Ovis aries: one gene and its partners. The protein of the gene in region 4 interacts with the protein of the main gene of each other region in a pairwise test. Links are inferred from orthologs where the notes say so. Each region holds a gene or a part of one and is shown on either strand. Other genes may lie near its edges. The genes, in order: RETREG3, DTX2, RNF5 and ABHD16A.

The links.
Region 1: the proteins of ABHD16A (region 4) and RETREG3 interact in binary tests that used the Homo sapiens proteins (3 or more experiments, as listed by UniProt). The link is inferred for Ovis aries from reciprocal best matches to the Homo sapiens genes ABHD16A and RETREG3.
Region 2: the proteins of ABHD16A (region 4) and DTX2 interact in binary tests that used the Homo sapiens proteins (3 or more experiments, as listed by UniProt). The two-hybrid records come from large-scale screens. The link is inferred for Ovis aries from reciprocal best matches to the Homo sapiens genes ABHD16A and DTX2.
Region 3: the proteins of ABHD16A (region 4) and RNF5 interact in binary tests that used the Homo sapiens proteins (3 or more experiments, as listed by UniProt). The link is inferred for Ovis aries from reciprocal best matches to the Homo sapiens genes ABHD16A and RNF5.

Annotation. Positions count from the first base shown.
Region 1 is NC_056064.1:42,393,723-42,398,041, forward strand, and holds part of RETREG3 (reticulophagy regulator 3), read right to left. Parts: coding exon 4,313-4,319; intron 3,407-4,312; coding exon 3,280-3,406; exon of another isoform or gene 2,991-3,279; intron 2,628-2,990; coding exon 2,543-2,627; intron 1,726-2,542; coding exon 1,588-1,725; intron 594-1,587; coding exon 511-593; intron 1-510. UniProt on the Homo sapiens protein: Endoplasmic reticulum (ER)-anchored autophagy regulator which exists in an inactive state under basal conditions but is activated following cellular stress.
Region 2 is NC_056077.1:34,901,946-34,906,899, reverse strand, and holds the start of DTX2 (probable E3 ubiquitin-protein ligase DTX2), read right to left. Parts: upstream 3,248-4,954; 5' UTR 3,120-3,247; intron 3,016-3,119; exon of another isoform or gene 1,810-3,015; intron 1-1,809. UniProt on the Homo sapiens protein: Regulator of Notch signaling, a signaling pathway involved in cell-cell communications that regulates a broad spectrum of cell-fate determinations.
Region 3 is NC_056073.1:26,283,894-26,288,995, reverse strand, and holds RNF5 (E3 ubiquitin-protein ligase RNF5), read left to right. Parts: upstream 1-2,302; 5' UTR 2,303-2,411; coding exon 2,412-2,551; intron 2,552-3,600; coding exon 3,601-3,619; intron 3,620-3,713; coding exon 3,714-3,826; intron 3,827-3,928; coding exon 3,929-3,983; intron 3,984-4,060; coding exon 4,061-4,178; intron 4,179-4,271; coding exon 4,272-4,369; 3' UTR 4,370-4,853; downstream 4,854-5,102. UniProt on the Homo sapiens protein: Membrane-bound E3 ubiquitin-protein ligase that mediates ubiquitination of target proteins. May function together with E2 ubiquitin-conjugating enzymes UBE2D1/UBCH5A and UBE2D2/UBC4.
Region 4 is NC_056073.1:26,698,026-26,701,618, reverse strand, and holds the end of ABHD16A (phosphatidylserine lipase ABHD16A), read right to left. Parts: coding exon 3,550-3,593; exon of another isoform or gene 3,136-3,549; coding exon 3,031-3,135; exon of another isoform or gene 2,797-3,030; coding exon 2,733-2,796; exon of another isoform or gene 2,512-2,732; intron 2,419-2,511; coding exon 2,362-2,418; intron 2,214-2,361; coding exon 2,151-2,213; intron 2,119-2,150; exon of another isoform or gene 2,022-2,118; coding exon 1,945-2,021; intron 1,861-1,944; coding exon 1,762-1,860; intron 1,667-1,761; coding exon 1,620-1,666; intron 1,446-1,619; coding exon 1,362-1,445; 3' UTR 1,118-1,361; downstream 1-1,117. UniProt on the Homo sapiens protein: Phosphatidylserine (PS) lipase that mediates the hydrolysis of phosphatidylserine to generate lysophosphatidylserine (LPS). LPS constitutes a class of signaling lipids that regulates immunological and neurological processes.

The DNA of each region.
Region 1 (4,319 bases), on a different chromosome or scaffold from region 4:
TAGTCAGAATCCTGACCCCTTTCAGGCTGCTCCCCCAGGGAAAACACTCTTTTTCATTAATCTTGAGCCCAGGAAGGAAAGCAGCCTTGAGAGTCAACCAGCCACTTATACTCTGAAGCAAATAACTGACCGAGAGAATACTTTTCACAGGTGGCTGGGAGGATATGCACAGGTTACCGCTTGACCTAAGGCAAGCTGGGCTGTTTAAAGAGAGATCATGTCAGTTGCAGAAGTTCTGCCCTGATGGCAGGGGTTAAAAGGAGACGTGGAAGAGGGTGTGCTCGTCACCAGACTCAAACTGAGATCTACATACAAAGTCCCAATATAATACTAGCTTCTCTCCTCACTGCACTTGGGAGCAGGAAGGTCCTTGGAGAAAGGCAAGAAGCTGGGTCCTTAGAGAGCCCACAGTGAGCCTGGAAACCTGTTTACTGTCTAAACAGGAGTACCAGATGGTAAAAAAGGAGCTAAAAAGACTGGCCAGTGAGGCAGCTCCCACACCCCAGATACCTGAGGACAGAAGGCTGCAAGCTCCTCCTCGCTGTCACTGTGGTTGTCTGCAGCACGCTCTGGGTGGAGAGCTCTGCGACGCACTGTGTAGGAAGAGCAGAAGCCATGAACACCTTCCCTTGAGGGCAAACTCCCGCCCCCTTTGAATTTCAAAGGCATTAAAGTCAGAATACCAGAGAATGAACCCCTTAAACCTACAGAACGATGTCTGAGGAAGGAGCTGCCTAAGTGGCAAGGTAAGCTGATAACATGATAACACAGGAAAGAAACCCTTTTTGTTCTGGAGAGGTCAACTACCAGACTTGTCAACAAGCCTCAAGATCAGATATCAGTGTGAAAAGTGGACACTATCACAGAGAAGGCGAAGGGAGACACCCCACCTGGCTGAGTCAGGCTTTGAGGAGTGGTGCTGTTCAGCTGGCTGCGCCGGGCAGAGCCGGGCCTTGGCGCTCGTGTGCAGGGCTCTTAGAAGGCCAGGGCTTAATGCAGACCCAGCCTGACCGCACCACGGAAGAGAGGGAAAAGTCCGCTTGCCTGTTGCTTGTGGGTTGGAGGATCTCAGGCTAGTACACACCAGGCTTCAGAAGCCAGTTTTCAATCGCTTTGGGAAGGCAGCTTTCAGGAGTGAACAGAGGCCCAGCTGAGGAGTTTAAAAGACCTATTCTGCCCTTTACTAACCGTGAGCTTTAGTTTCCTCAACCAGAAAAGGAAAATACCACCCTCTTTTTAAGGGTGTTGTACAGACAACGTATGCAAAGCAGCCAGCTCAGTGCTTGGGCACATGGGACGTGCTTCATAAAAAGCAGCTAACACTGGGAATATCTTCACTGTCTTTTATATGACTTGGGAGAACTTTTCTCATATTTGTTTAAAATGGGAGTGTCTATAATTCCAAAGGGAAAAACTGGCAAGCCTGCAGAGATTTCCCTAGAGTAGATCATCACTTTTACCTACCACCCCCCTATACAGCAATCACATCCCACTTCTCCACGTTCAAGGACCTATGATGCCAAACCTCTGGGCTTCTCCTTCTCCCCAAACTGCCCAAATGGACGGGAGGTTCCCCTGGACACTTACATTGTCTCTCTCTCTGCTTGGACATCATGTAGCCACGAACGCTGAAGTCCAGCCGCTGCAGTGCGGGCTTCAGCCGCACATACACTCGGTCCCACAGCCGGTGGTACACAGCGAGGGGCCACATCATGACAGTGACAACTGAGAGGAGTGAGAAAGAGTGGTGAAATGGAGGAAGGGCTGCATACAGTCCTGACTGTCCCTCTGCCGTGTGTCCTTAGGGCTGGGACCCAGTGTGGAACGGTCCTGCCTAATTCTGCAGGTCATCTTCACGAGGTGAAGATCTGGGGTCAGAGACTTCTGTAGCCCCAACAGCGCCGTGCACAGTGGACTATGCTGCTGATGCATCAAGGGCAGAATCAGTGCTGTCACCTGCATATGGGTGTCACCGAGCATCAACAAGACCAGATGCTAACGACGCCTCGGCAGCCACACAACGTCATTCGAGCTTCTGCTATTTAATCACCAGGGTCATCACTGCTCAGTTCTTCCAGCCTCAGGTAGACAGAGTTCATGCCAATATGAAGTTAACTACATTTACAAAACTGCTCTGGGGGGGTGGGGGTGGGGGGGGGGAAGTGCTCCAGGTAAACAGAACCTAGTAACCTACAGAGTAAACAGAATCTAGAACAGAATCCTAAGAGTTATGTCCTACTGTTACACAATACACTGACTCTAAAAATTCCCTCCTGAAATAGGGACAGACAGTCCTTTCTTTATAACTGGTTAGTGGACCCTTGTCAGTTTCTAAAACTTGGTAAGAAAAGGAATTTATATGTGGGAGCTTGACACAGGTAAGAAGAAAGGTATTTTCATGACTCTAAACAGGACATGAAAATGAAAAAGGTCATTTCCTGGAGAACAAAAATATAAAAGTTCTCTCTCTAGACAAAGTTAGCTACAGCTAGAAAAGCTATGAGTATGTTAAGCTTGTGGGGGAGGTATATACCATACTTACGAATTAAGTAGGAGAGCAGGAGCCCAGGGATGTAGCGGCCCAAGACAGCCAAAAAGGTCAGTATCCCACAGCTCAGCAAGCAGAACTAGGGATGTCAGGAAACAATATTAAGTTTCTGCCATATGGCAGGGGATGGGGTGGGGATGTGGGGCAGGTAAGATGGAGATGTGATTGAAATGATTTTTTATGACCTCTGAATAAAGCATGGACATGTCAGAATGACATGTACCTAGCCACTGCTGCTGCTGGTGATTCTGCTGGGGAGGAAAGGGAGCATGTCCACTTCTATTCAAACTCTTCTCACATGGCTAACCCCACAGGGCTGCACCTTTCGTGCTGGGAAATGGTTTGAATAGGACTGAGCCAAAAATTCTCTCTGAAAACAAGTGCTGGTGGTGGGCTTTTTTTAAGGCAAAGTAAAATAAAATGAAAAAACTCAACCACTTACCACATGTTTAATATGACACAGAATGCACACAAGCAAGCTTTCTTTCCCATCTTGGGGCAGGAAGATGGCCTAATCTAAGTGGCAAGCACCTGAAGGAGTCACCGAGTTCTTGCCTTAGTCCTAGTGGCTGGTCAGAAGCCCCTTCCTATGACTTCCCTTGTCTCTACCAGCACCATGGTCTTTTCGTTCTTGAATGAGGATAGGTAGTAAAAGGTAAAAGGGCTGTTTCAGTTTAGCATGAACTGAACTGAGAAGCCAGAAATAAGAGTGAAAAAGGGAAGAGTCTTACCTTGCCTGGGTTTTGCTTTTTGAAAAGCAAAAGATTCCTTATGAAAATGGTCCCACTAACCCAGACTTCAGCTACGTGGTGGCAGAGCTCGGGCACGCTGAGCAACCGAGGGTGCACAAAACCCCAGCTATGGGAAAGAGAAGGGGGAGCTGTGAAAGGAGGGTGCTGAGGGTTCCCCCCCATCTCACTGTGAAGGCAGCCGATGGTTCCGGGTTTAAATAGGGGCTGGGGAGTGGCTAGCCCGAGGTGCTCTAGAGGTGAAGCACGACTTTCTTCTTGGCTCTCCAGGTTGAAACTTGAATTTAAGGACTAGGAGGGCAAACTTGTTCTGACACCTCCACCCTGAGCCAGCAGCCCAATCCACATGTGTAAACCTGCCACCAGCTCCTAGGCCCTTTGTGCTTAAAAGCATCTTTCCTGTGCTCAGACTATTGCAATTCACTGTGATTGCAATCCAGGAGAAAACGTAAAGCACAGTCTGACAGCACTGCGGCAGGTGAGGTGGAGCCAATGGATGTGCCCCTTAGAGAGAAAACAAATAAAACAAAACCAAAACAAACCCAGCAGAGACAATCCAACATATGACATGAATGAACTGAAAAATGAAAGCAGGAGCTGTAAGCCACAAGAGGGATCTTTGGCTTGCTGATGCCAGAAACGAATGTGTTTTCTGACCAGGAACTTTAAACGGCCAAAGTTCACAGAAAACACTAAATGGCCTGGTTTTTATAAAAGCCAGAGACAAATGAGGTAAGTTGCCTCTAAGTTTTTACACAGGCTGCATAATTTCTTGGTACGTCAGCACGCTAATGCTGCTTTCTCAGAAATGTCTCTTACAAGTACCACAGGACACTGAGCATCTCAACCTACTGCTGCCTGAACTTTAGGATTTGTTAAAATGATTATTTGCAACAGACTAGGTTCTCAGCTTCTAATGTGTATCCAAAACATGGAGTTAACAACCTGTAACCAGAATATTACAACAAGAGAATCAATCAGAGCAACAAAAAGGGATTTAATTAGCATTCCATACCTCTCAT
Region 2 (4,954 bases), on a different chromosome or scaffold from region 4:
ACTTAGGAAATAAATAAAAGTAGGCCATGTGTGAATGGGTGATCAGTGTGGAGCAATCCAGTTCTCTGTTTATCTGAGGTGAATATTAAAACAAACCCACAGAGGTGACTGTTTAATTCATCTCCGGGTGCTGAGCACAAACCCTGGCACACAACTTCCTGGGCACACGTGGAATGAATGAGAGACGCTTCATCCGTGGCTCCATTCCTGCTGTCTCTTAGGTACCTCCAATATGTCTGAAGCCAAACTCACCTTCCTTGCTTCTCTCTCTTTCCTCCCGGATTCCTTGGCTCTGGGCTGCCCCTCCTCCAGCTTCTCCCCACAGCCCAGCAGCTGCCCTGGCTTGCTCTTGCCTCCTCAGCCCGCACTGTGAGCACTTGGCTCGGACCTGTCAGCCTCTCACCTTGATGAGCACTCGCTCTCATCTGGCTTCTCACACTTGTCTCTCCTTCTCAACCACCTCAGAGACAGGGGCGAGGCGGAGCTTCCTGAAGTACAGTCCTGCCCCTCTCTTCCACACCTCCCTTCAAGGTCTAGAAACAACGTTCACATTCCGTGGCTCACGGGGAAAGTCCATCAGCCCAGTCCCTCACTGTCAACACTATCTGCTGGCACACCTCCCTCCAGTACCCCCTCTTCCATCTACACTTCCCCCTCCCCAGCTCCTTCCAGAAAGTTTAAGTAACGACCCACTACCCCATATACATCCAGTTTCCCCAACTCTGCTTCAACTTTACCCGGCACCCTACCCACTTGGCCACCCAGTTAAACACCTCCAGGATGCCGTGCTGTGCCCTCTTGTGAGAAAATCCCCTCTCATCAACTTCTACAGCATTGCATCTGTCGTCCACAGTTCTCTCCGGCCGTTCTCTCTCTCTGACAAGCCCAGGAACAGCCAGAGCACAAACTTCCCTGTCTACCTCCCTCTACTAGAAGCTGGGGTGATGTAAGGAAACAGTCACAAGGAGAACGATCCAATCCAATCCATTCCATGCTTTCTAGCCAGGGTGCTCATTTAGCAAGGCCCTTCCTGGAATTCTCCTGCTAAAATCCCCCAAGTCTTGGCATGACAGGCAAAAGCCCCCACACTCAACCTTCTGCCCACCTTTCCAGGCTTCTAGGCCATGTAGCCATCCCGTTGCCCCAGCCACACTGGAGTCACACTTACAATGACCCAGACATGCCGGGTCTCTTCACAACTTTGCATTTACTGACTCCTCTGCCTGGCTTCGTCCCCTACTTCCTGGGTCCTACTCCTTCACAATTCACTTTGGCTCTCACGTTCTTGAAGCCTTCTGGACCTTCCCTCCTGCGCAAGGGTAGGGGTGGGATGGGGGGGGCTCTGCCCTGTGATTACCCACTCCTCCATATGTATCACACCAACAACACCTTGTCGCTGTCTATGGTTTCTTTATCTTTCCCACCAAACAATGAGCTCCTGGAAGACAGAGTTTTTGTGGCTGGTCACTGCACCCTCAGCACCGAGCAGGGGGCCTGACAAAAAGGAAGCACCCAGTAAAGGCTCAAGTGACCAAGGAAATTAAAATTTCCAATGCAGAAATCCTGACTCGTGTCCTTCATCTCATAATGCATGTGTGAAAACAGAAAGTAGCTTCTAAGACTGGTTAAACAGGAGAAGCTGTTGGCAAGAAGCCACCTGAATTTATCTGAGACAAGAGGCAATCAACAATCCACTCCCAGGGCTCACTTTCATCTTGGGGACCTCAAATTTCCCCCTCCCCAGTCCACACTTTCTCTACTGAAAACCAGATTGGACAGGCAGCGACGTGAAGTCCCCGTGGCTCTCACCTTTTCTCTGTGGAAAGCTGGCACAAACCGTGCCTTCTTGATGAAGATACCAGATCCTTAGGAGGAATGACTTGTGTGGATTCCCATCTTGATAGAAAACGCAAACAACAAAAACTGGGCAAATCTGAAAGGCTTGCTGACTCAGCGACACAAATTCCAAGGCACCTTTGCCAACAAGGAAGAAGACGATCGAGTTTTAAATTGGGAAACAGCAGTTAGTGAAAACGAATGCACAGATGTTGGGTCTGTGTGCTGTGGCTGGGGACTGGAAACCACCAGATTTATTTTCCAACAGCCTGGGCACAGCAGAAGGTACAGTAGTCTCCCTCTGCCCACTCAATAATCAAGGGGCTAGTTAGGGGAAGGAAAAAAAAAAAAAGCCCTTCCATAGAAAGGCCTGAAAGGATTTTGTGAGCCAGTTTGCTTTGTGAGCCTCCAAGAAATCAACTACAGAACATAAAAGTTTGCCAAGGTCACACAGTAAATGAACAAGAAGCCTAGCTATAGTTACCCTGATGGTTTAAGTAAAGCCTGATTACCAGAAAGACCACCTTCTACAACTCTAGACGAGCTACATGGCATGCAGAAATATTTTGAGTTTCTTAAGCGACCAAGCGTCTATGCACACACTATTTCCACTGCTACTGGCACTTAGGGAGGGAAGAGGAACCAGTGTGGAGGACAGTAGCTGACTTGAGAAAGGGTAGTTTCGGGGGCAAAGGGGGAGGGAAGTCTAAGTCCTCTTCACAACGTAAGCTACTGGCACCCCGCAAAAGTGAGCCAGGCTCCCACAAAAGAGGCACTTCCTGGAAGGCGGACCGCACTTGAGAAGAAGAAAGCGGAGTTAGTTAAGCGAACTCCTCAGAAGTACAGCCCCCGGCTCCAGCGAGCCGCCCACCGGGAAGCAGATCCCAGCAGGACCCACACCCTCACTAGGGCAGCCCGGTGGCCCCGCCGCCGCCTCCCGGATCCTGTGGGAAAGGGTACTCTCCTCCCGACGGGCCAAACTCTCAGGGTCTGCGCCGCTCCCCTCGCCAGCCCTTCGGCGTTCCCGCTCCCCACCCCGACCGGTCCTAAAGCTCTGCGAGCGTCTCTCAATCCCCTCAACTCCCGCCCTCGGGGACCTCCACCCGGAGGCCGGTCCCCGCAAGCCCCCTGGGACCTCAGCCCGGAGCGCCTCTCCAGCCCGGCCCAACCGTCCCTCACGCCCACGCCCGCCCCCTTCCGGCCCCAGCTCGGCTCGGTCTCCCCCGCGTCCCCGGGACCCCAGCCCTAGGCGACGAGCAGGTGGCCCGGGCCGCCCCTCTCACCGAGACTGAAGAGAGCGAGGCAGGCGGCTGGAGGACACCGCCGCGCTCAGACTGAAGCTCCACTTCGGCCTGGGCACTGCTCCGGCCGTAGCTCCCACTCTAACGAGGAGGCAGCCTGAGTGAAACTCGGCGTCGCAGCTTCCTCGGGTTCCAGTACGCATGCCCAAGACGCTGGGCCTTCTGGGAAACGTAGTTCCGGCGGGGCAGCAGGGGCGGGGCCGAGCCCAATGTGCACCTGTTCAGTTCAGCTCAGTTGCTCAGTCGTGTCCGACTCTTGGTGATCCCATGGACTGCAGCACGCCAGGCTTCCCTGTCCATCACCAACTCCCGGAGTTTACTCAGACTCATGTTCATTGAGTCAGTGATGTCATCCAACCATCTCATCCTCTGTCCCCCTTCTCCTCCCGCCTTCAATCTTTCCCAGCATCTGGGTCTTTTCAATGAGTCAGCTCTTCGCATCAGGTGGCCAAAGTATTGAAGCTTCAGCTTCAGCATCAGTCCCTCCAATGAATATTCAGGACTGATTTCCTTTAGGATTGACTAGTTTGATCTCCTTGCTGCCCAAGGGACTCTCAAGAGTCGTCTCCAACACCACAGTTCAAAAGCATCAATTCTTCAGCGCTCAGCTTTGTTTATAGTCCAATTCTCACATCCATACGTGACTACTGGAAAAACCATAGCTTTGACTAGACCGACTTTGTCGGCAAAGTAATGTCTTTCCTTTTTAATATGCTGCCTAGGTTGGTCGTAGGTTTTCTTCCAAGAAAAAAAAGGGCTTTGTACCTACTTGGGTGACAAACACTTAAACACGCAACTGCAATCTAGTGCGATAAATGTGATAAAGGAGTAAGAGCATAGAAGGGGTGCCTAATTGCAGGAAGAGGGGATGTCAGGAAGACATTGCAAAGGAGGTTACACTAGAATTGGATTTTGAAGCCTGAGTATGGGTTTGTCAAATGGAGTACAGGGAAACTTTTGCAAAGGATGAGAGATGAGAAAGTGCCTGATGCATTCAGAAAGCAATGAAATGTTCTGTGTAGCTAAGGCAGAGAATAGGTACATGGACGGGGTGAGGACAGAGAAAATGGATTAGGGTGTGGCAGGATATGGGGAAATGGCTGGGTGAGATTATGAAGGACACTAAATATCACGCAAGAAATTTAGTCCACTGGAGTCAATGGAAGGATTTAAGCAGGGGAAAGAGAAGCAGCATTGCACTTTAGAAGTGTACCCTTGTGGTGGGTGGAGGATTGAGAAAGGAGTGGGGAGACCAGTTTGGAGGCTTAGGCTATAGTCCAGGTCAAAAGTGATGAGGCTTAAACCAGGCTAATGACTAATCTTTTGGATCACAGACTTCCTTTACTTCCTAAAGAAAGTTGTTCCCAGAAAAATGCTCAGATGTATTCATACGTATACACACAGATATTTTTACATACAGTTCCAGGGGGTTCAGAGTCCTCTAAATCTTGGACTCTAATTGAATATCTTTACATAATCTAATCAAAAGCTAGTGAAGGAAGAGAAAGAGTGCCTGCAGCAGGCCTAGTTTCTGGTACTCTAGGCCAGGACCCAGAGCTGACTTATCACCCAGGAGCTGACTTAGAGGGCACCAGTCTTGAGCCTGGGAATGAGCCAGTTATGCACACAGCCAGCTCTCCATAGAGGAATGAAGGGTAACGATTTACCTGCGATTTCTACTAGATGCCTGAAGTGGCTACAGATTAGAATAGGACGCTTCCCTTCCCCTCTCAGAGCCTCGGTCACCTCAGCCATAATCATCCGCAGGCCGTCTAAGGCACCTAGCAGGTGCTGAGCACTGGACATGCGTCACCTCC
Region 3 (5,102 bases), about 410 kb from region 4:
CTATCCCCCGCCACCCCTCCCCACGCCCGCTGATTTCCGGGGCTGGCCAGGAAGTAGGGGGCGGTGATGGGCGCCCTGTTTTGCCAATCGCCTCCCCACATCGTTCAGTTTTTGCCTAGCTCCGCCCCACGAGGGCTCAGCTGGTCTTTGCTTAGGTCTCTCTGGCCTTCTCTGATTCCAGCTGCATCTTTTTTCCTCCAACTTCCTTTCGGCACACATGGCTTGTGTGTCCCTTGCTGGTGTATTCCTTCTCATTCTCCATCAGTTCTCCTCATATTGTCAATTGGCTTCTTTTTTTTCTCAACTCCCACATCTGCTGCTTATTCCATCCAACTCCAACCCTTTTCCAGCTCCCTCCTCCTGTTCCCCATTCAAATTCAAATATTTATCAAGCACCTACTATATGCCAAGCACTGGGTTCTTCACGTCTCTTCTTTTTCTCTCCAGGGCTCGATGGAGACGAGATGTCACCCCACCTCACCTTCCAACCCTCATCTGATCTCTGCCCTTTGTCCCTGCCACTATCTCCTAGCAGTCCAGCTCCCTCCTCCACTGCCCGCCCCCCATCCTGGTCTTTGGGGAGAAGGGACACTCTCAGGCCCTTGTCCCTGTAGGCTGTACCTTACTTTCTTCCTTCGTATAGTCTCCTTACTCACCCACGCTGAGACTACCCGTCTCTGCAATATAGAAAAGATGTATGCTTTTTTCCCAATGGAAATTGGACATTAGGCTTAATTTCTTGAAAAAGTGAGGAAGAATGCTGTTTCCTCTGGGATGAGCATGCCTCCTTAATTTTGTAGTCATGTACCTAGCTCTCTCTCCACCATACTCCCATCATCCCCTTGTCAGGATCATCCCATCACTCTCCACTCCTATTGGGTCTCCTCTTCTCCCTCTCAATGACCTTTTCCCTAAACCTCTACACGTCGCCTGAACCTTAACCTCCTCTGCCATAGGCGACTCCTAATTTCTCATCTTTCCTCACTTGAGTCACGTGGGGCCTTTTTATCAGGATGTTGTTGAAGAACCCTCAGCTTGTGTCTGGCCTCCAGCCCCCAGTCACCTTTGCCCTGAAAAGGATGTAAAGAACACCGGTAACTCCAGGACTGTTACCTAGTTCTGCTCCTTGGGCTTCAGTGAGGGCCACTGACTGTAGAAGAGGCCCAAACTTGTGCGAAAGGCCCACGCTCTGAAGCAGCCTGCCTAAGTCCCAGGGGTCCAGCCCAGGAGGAAGACCCCAGTTCTGCCGGGCACAGGAGAAAGAAGGGGCGGGTCGCCTAAAAGGGGGCGGGCCTTGCCTCTTGCACCCACTCACAAAGGGAGGGGGGCTAGGCCTTTTCTGCTTTTAAGATTTAAAACGGAGTCGAGGTCAACTCGTTCTACTATGTGCCACGTTAAAAAGGGGATGGGTCTTCAGTTCAGTTCTGCTCTGTAAATCACCTAAAGAGGGGCGGGCTGAGTCGTCCAGCCGAGGGAGATGGGTTAACACCAGCGCTGCAGATCGACGTTCGCACCATCCAAACGTCGGGCTAATCCTAGTCCTGCTCCCTTCTTCACTAAGAGGGAGGGGCGGACCCAAGTTCTGCTCTCTACGTCACCGAAGGAGGCCGAAGCCATTTTGAACCCTGCGACCCTAGTATTTGTCCTCTTTTCCGAGCTCGTCGCCGTCTTTCCCGATCTCGGCCAATCAGGAGCGAAAAAAGGGGTCCAATCAGTCGAGAGAGACCTCAGTCGGAGGACCCGGATGAGGACGAGCCGAGGCCTTTGAACCCCAAACCCCGCCAATTGTGGAGCAGTCACCATGGCGACAGTATAGAGGTGAAGGGGTGGGACCAGAGAAGGCTCAATCCTCATAGGATTGGCCCACCCCGTCCCTGCCTGATGCGCTCGCGCACTTTACCTAGCTACCATTTTCTGTCGAGGTGTAGCCAATCAGTTGCTTCGGAGCCAAACGCTCCAAAGTCCAATAGGAATCTGGATATTCTCTGAAAGAGGAAGTAAAAGAAAGACTGGGTCTTGTAGTGGGCGAGGTCTAAGCAGTCTTGAGCCAATTGCTTCTGGCCTTTGGTTATGACTGGCAGTTACTCAGACGAATAAAGCCCGCCCTAGCTGGGTGACAGGACGTATGGAGTTGTTACCAATCCCGTGGCATTGCCGACTAACTGTGACTGTGTCAGCCAATAGTCATTGTACAAGGGCGGAGCCACGTGATCATCTTTCCGCCCCCGCCTTTTGGACCAATCCTTCCTTCCGATTCTGTATGATTGGCAGGCACTCAGGCCAATAGTGATTAGAAAACTTTGAAGCCTGCCCAAAGACCGTGGGCCGGAGGAGGTTTCTCGTTTCTCGGGGCGTCTGTATGTGTGTTTCGGGGGACTAAGGGGTACGCGGGGGACGAAAGAGTACCGGCCATGGCAGCAGCGGAGGAGGAGGACGGGGGCCCCGAAGGGCCAAACCGCGAGCGGGGCGGGGCGGGCGCGACCTTCGAATGTAATATATGTTTGGAGACTGCTCGGGAAGCTGTGGTCAGTGTGTGTGGCCACCTGTACTGGTGAGAATCTGAGAGGGGCAAAAATAACTGGGGCTCACATCTATACTGGGGAGGTTGGGGTGGGGGTGCCACAGTCATACGGGCAACCAGAGGGCACATTTTCATAGGTGAGGCCTGAGGGGGCTTCTTGCGTCTTTTTGGGTATGTGTGGGTGAGAGGGTCACGTCTGTATAGAGGAGACCCGTGGAAAGTCGTAGGAACTAGGCTCCAACTAGTATGTTAAGAAATGGGGCGCAGGAGGTGGGTACCGCACATCTGTGCAGGTGAGACCCGAGCCACCTTAACCTCTGGAAATTGAGGGGTCTTACTTAGCTGTACATTGGAGGAGGAAATGGCAACCGACTCCGGTATTCTTGCCTGGAGAATCCATCCCAGGGACAGGGGAGCCTAGTGGGCTGCCATCTATGGGGTCGCACAGAGTCGGACACGACTGAAGCGACGCAGCAGCAGCAGCTGTACAGTTGGGAACGGATTAGACTGCAAGGTTAGGGGAGATCTAGAGAACGAGGGATCACATTCAGGTGAGCTGTGTCAAGGGGTGGTATGAGAAACCTCCGGACAAGAGCACGGTGGAGTAGCAGCCCCCAAAGATTAAGGAATTGTGGAAGTAAGGTCTTTATTGAGCATAGGAGATAGGAAAAGGAGTAATGGGAGAAGGTAGGTGCTGGTAAAGGGGGTTTGGTTGGGGAGTGATGGCGGCAAGAATGAGAGGAGGGCTGAAAGGAGCCTGCAAAGGGGTGGTTGAAGAAAACTGGAAATTAAATTGAAAAGCAGAGAAGGAAGGGGTGAGGATTTGTATATGTATGGGGTGTGGGGATTGCGGTAGGGAAGAGGAGAGAGGTGAGGGTTGAGCCTGTTGAGAATAGATGTAGCTTTGGAAGGTTAGAGAAGCAGGATGGCCAAATTGGCTGGCATGGTAGGAGTTGTGGAAAATATGAAAAGAAACAGCAGGTAATACCTGGTAACAGCGAGGTGGGACTCTGAGGTTGGGTAGGTATCTCTTTTGTGTTTGGTTTCAACTGGTTTGACCTTTGTTTTCCCCCTTGCAGTTGGCCCTGTCTTCATCAGGTGCGTACTCAGAGGAGATGAAGAGGGAAATGGGGAGGTCTGAGGAGCTGGAAGAACCCTTCTGTGTACTGGAAACCACATTTTTTTCCCCCAGTGGTTGGAGACACGGCCAGAGAGGCAAGAGTGCCCAGTGTGCAAAGCTGGGATCAGCAGAGAAAACGTTGTCCCTCTCTATGGGCGAGGGAGCCAGAAGCCCCAGGATCCCAGGTAAGAGAGGGGAGGTGGTACTGAAAGAAAGTGGACACTTCTTTCTGGGGAGTGGGGTGTAGAAGAGGAGGGAATATTGATAGTCCCTCTCCTCTTCCTCAGATTGAAAACCCCACCCCGCCCACAGGGCCAGCGACCCGCTCCAGAGAGCAGAGGGGTGAGTCTTGTCTGATTTGTGTTCCTTCCTTGCCAAAGACTCGCCCAGTTTCCCACTGACCTTCTCCGCCTCCCTAGGGATTCCAGCCATTTGGTGATACTGGGGGCTTTCACTTCTCATTTGGTGTCGGTGCTTTTCCCTTTGGCTTTTTCACCACCGTCTTCAATACCCATGAACCGTTCCGTCGGGGTACAGGTAAGAGTCTGCCCTCAACTGCTACCAGCAAGTCCTCTGAATCCCCTGGCCTATGAGTGGATGCTTCTTTCACAGCTCTCTTCTCTCCCACAGGTGTGGATCTGGGACAGGGTCACCCGGCCTCCAGCTGGCAGGACTCCCTCTTCCTGTTTCTCGCCATCTTCTTCTTTTTCTGGCTGCTCAGTATTTGAGCCATGTCTCCTTCCTGCCCACCACCAGCCAGAGGAGAATCAGTATTGGGGGTCCCTGCTGACCCTTCCTTACTCCTGGACCCTCCCCACCCAAGCCCTTCATTTCTGTTGGCTAAGGCCAACCCTGGCCACTTTCCACAAGGATGTGTGGAGAAGGAGTGACATCTGTGCATAGGATAGGAGAACCTGTGCTCTGGACTGCTCCCTCAGTAGCGTCATAACTCCCAGCTCTGGGAGAGGAGGATGGACTAAAGACAGTGTCTGTCTCTCGTCTCTCCCGATCCTTTGCTTTCCACCATATTTCTTGATTTGATGTTGAAAGGTGGGCAAGGCTCCCTCTGACTCTTCTCCCATGTTCCCCTTGATTTAATTTAATTTTTCTCTCCCCAGTGTCTAATGTGGGTCCTGACTCTCAAGTGCTTCCCTCCCCTCACTACCTCCTTTATGATAAATTCAATAAACATGATGAGATGTATTCACTCTGCCTACGTTTGTCCGTCCCTCCTTCCTTTCAAGACAGGAGCATCTTCTCCCCAACTTGAGCAGATATTGGTGTGGTGTGGGGAAGCATGGGGGAGAGGGCATCACACAACACACACAGCAAATGTGGCAGGTGTTTACTCATCACTTTCTGTGGGAGGCTCTGGTTGTGGAAGAAAGCTGGCGGGAGGTGGGCTGAAGATTATACAGAGGAGAACTGGGCTGGGGCCGGAACAGACTGGGAAAAGAAAAG
Region 4 (3,593 bases):
AGTGTGTTTCCCTTGAAGGAGCCGCTGAGCTGGTTGAGGCAGACAGCCTCTGCCCCTGGGATTGCAGGGGAGCTTTGTGCATTGAGGTTGGAGGAGACACTGAAGTTAGGCTGTATCCTGAACCTCACAATATAGTTGCTCACCTTAAGTATCTTGTTCAAAATGGTGAGCCCAGGGTGGTAAACCTAGGGGTATTTCATCTGGAAAAGAGGTTTCCAAGGGAAGAAGGTGGCCAGGCAACAAAGTGATGGGTGCGAGAGCGACTCATTCTGTTCCAACGTCCAAGGAATGGAAATAAAATGGAAGAAATGGCAACCCCCTCCAGTATTCTTGCCTGGAGAACCCCATGGACAGAGGAGCCTGGTGGGCTACAGTCCATGGGGTGGCAAAGAGTCAGACATGATTGAGCGACTAACACTACAGGGAACCAATAGTGTTTCCTGGTTCAAACCAAGAATATTCTAACAGCTGTCCAATAAGGCAAAGTATGGCTCTGGGAAGATCTGAGTTCTTGGCACCTTGTCCTCAGTCCCTGGCAGGGCCTGTGTTTGTTGAATTGCAAAGAGGTTGTGAGGAGAGAGACTTAAGGTGAGCAACTATATGGTGAGGAGGCTGTGCAGGGGTTGCTGCATCCAACATGGGGAACAAGCCATTCCTTACTCCCCATGGAAAGAGCAAGAACTAAGCAAGAAAAACTGGAGGTTCTGATGCTGGAACCATGCAGGCTGGACCTAGAAATCGGTAGAATTGCTGCGTAAGTGTAAGTCAGGTGCTAGGAAGTACTTTGTAAACAACAGAGCTCATGAACTATGAGCACTGGAGGCAACCGTGGTCTCCTGGGGTGGTTGTATGTAGGAAGACCTAGGCAGGCACCAGGGACGCTGCACAGTGGTGATGGTACTAGGCATGCCAGGGAAAGGTGAGAGTGGGAGACCCACTGGACAAGGACAACTCAGGTTGGGGGCTGATTGCCTGGGGCAACAGCAGAGATGGTGAGGGTTAAATTGGCTGCCTGAAGTGGGGTCTCTCAAAGCCCAGTCATTTGGAGCTTCAACTCTTCTCCACTCCCAACCCTGGCTTCCTGGATAGCTGGGAAGTCACAAAATTAGCCAGCCGGTAGAAAAAATACTTTTATTAATTATTAGGAATAATTCATTCATTTAATGCAGGGTGTGTGTTGGGAAGGTTAGGTACTGCCAGATGGATGAGGGGAAACGTGCAAGAGGAACGGTGAGAAGTAGGGGTGGTCCCCCTGCTTGCCAGAAACTATAAACAGCAAAATAAACACAGAGAATCACAAACAGGGTCCTTCCTCATGTCTCCGTCCATCCGTTCTTCCAGAATAAGTCCCAGTGTGGTCCCTAGAGGTGCCACGGCATCTGGAAGTTCTGGGCTGGGAGTGGGGTGCAGTGTGTGGCTTCGAAGTTATTCAGATGCTTCTGAGCCTGAGGGGAGAAGGTGGGACAGGTGGGGTACAGAGCACAGACACCTTCTGAACCAACTACCCACATTAAAGAAGCTGCTCCTTCCATTGCTTACAGGGTACCCCTGTCCCCAAGCCCCACCTGTGCCCCTGGCCATTCAGGCACCCTCTTCCTGCTTCCCACGCCTTAGCTCACCAGAAACAAAGCCAGCTGCCGTCTTCCGTCTGCACTCATGTCCTCCCCTGCAGAGAGAAGGTGCTCAAACGTGGGCTACCCATCTGGGTATTCACCCCCTTCCTGGGCTCTTCCCAACCTCTTCTGCCCCAGCACTCCTTACCCACGCTCCAGGGGAATTCAGGCCCATGTTCTGCCTGGTAGGAGCGGAGGACAGACAGGCACCAGTCCTCCTCCACCTCCCACCGGCTGTAAATCGAGGCTGGTCATAGAGAGAGACATGTGCCCATCAGCATCCTGGTCTTTCCAGACCCCCAACCAAAGCCCTCAGCAGATCCCCTTTCACCTTCCTCCAGCTGTGAGGAGGCCTCCAGCCACTGCCTCACCACTCGAAGACCCTCTTCCGCCATCACCCGGGGATACCTATGGAGGAGCACCGGGACAGGAAGTCAGGACCCAGTCCTCTTCACTCCTCATCCCCGAACCGCCCCCCTCCCTGCACTGGCGTCAGTACAGACATGTATGTGTGCGCGCACACACCCTGGTTCTCACCGATGCTGCAGGAGTTTCAGCAGGAGGTCATTGCCTCGGTTAGACATGATGTCCTCAGGAACCCTGGGGGTAGAAGAATGACACTGGAGGGACTGGAGGGTGGGGAGGAAGGGTCTGGATACTTGGGTTTCTGGCGGGCATTCTTTGGGGTAGGGAACAGCTTCCTGGCTGTCTCTGGGATCCAGGAGGGTAGAAGTTCCCAGGCACTCACGTGGTGGTGATGATCTCATCCCTGGTTCTGCGGATCAGCAGCACAGGGCCCTGGTACCTTCAGAGGACAGCACAGTGGGGAGGGAGACCTCAGAGCAGGGACAGGTGAAACTGACTGCCTCACCCCAGCACTGGCTATATTTTTTTTCAGGCTTTGCTAGGAGATCCCTGCTGTGCCGGGCATGAACCTACTAGCTGCCAGATCATGAGAAGGTCCAGGGTCCCAGGGAAGCTGGGAGGGGTTGGGGGTGGTGGGAGGGTCCCTCCGGGGACACGGGGCAGTGGCTTATGCTTGCGCTTTGGTCCCAGCAGCATCTCTACAAGGGATGAGGTGGGGAGGGTATCGGGTGCTAGACACTGGCCAGCCCTCACCTGCACAGCTGCTCTGCATTGTTTAGATTGAGATGCTGCCTCACAGTCCTGGTCACCAGGCCCCCTAACGTGAGATAAACGTGAGAGGACAGCAGACACGAAGTCCCTGCCCAACACAGAGGTCCCCACTGTCCGTGGAGAGAGAAAATGGAGGTTCCCAGACAGGGGAGTCCCCCTGCTTCTCAACAACGCGGTGGCCTACTCCCCACCCACACAGAGGGGAACCATCTCCAGTGAGAACGTCTCCCAGGTCCAGCCCACCTCTTCCCTCAAGGGCAGGCCTGGGAGCTGCACTCACTCCAGCTGTCTGGCATGACTTTCAAGGCCAAGGGCACCAGGTCATCAAAGGAGGCATCCAGGATCACGGCACTAATGTCTGGGTAGGACATGGCGGCCCACGTAGCTGGTACCAGGAAAGGAAAGGAAGGGTGAGGACCAAGGGGCTCCTGCCCACCCCCACCCCTACCCTCATCCCCCTGACCCTACAGGCCCACCCCATCCTCCCTACTAAGTTAGCCCCAGGTCTCGCCTTAACCCCTCACTTCACTTGGCCAGGGCACTGTCCAAAGAGAACAACCAAGCGCACTGAAGACAATACCAGAGGCAACATTTACTCCTTGATCTCCCCACCCCAGGTTCTACTTTTAATCATCGGGCACAAGGGTGGAAGGAAATGTGAAGTGTACTCAAATATGATAGCTTCTTCCAGACCCACTCAAGAGAGCCCATCTATTCTCTCCTCCACCCTACTCCCCCGGGGGGACACAGAGATGGCCTGAGGGCGCCTACAGTAGCAGGATAGGAAGGAGGTGGGTACCAGTGAAGCCGCCGATGGACCAGGCATAGAGGATGATATCCTGG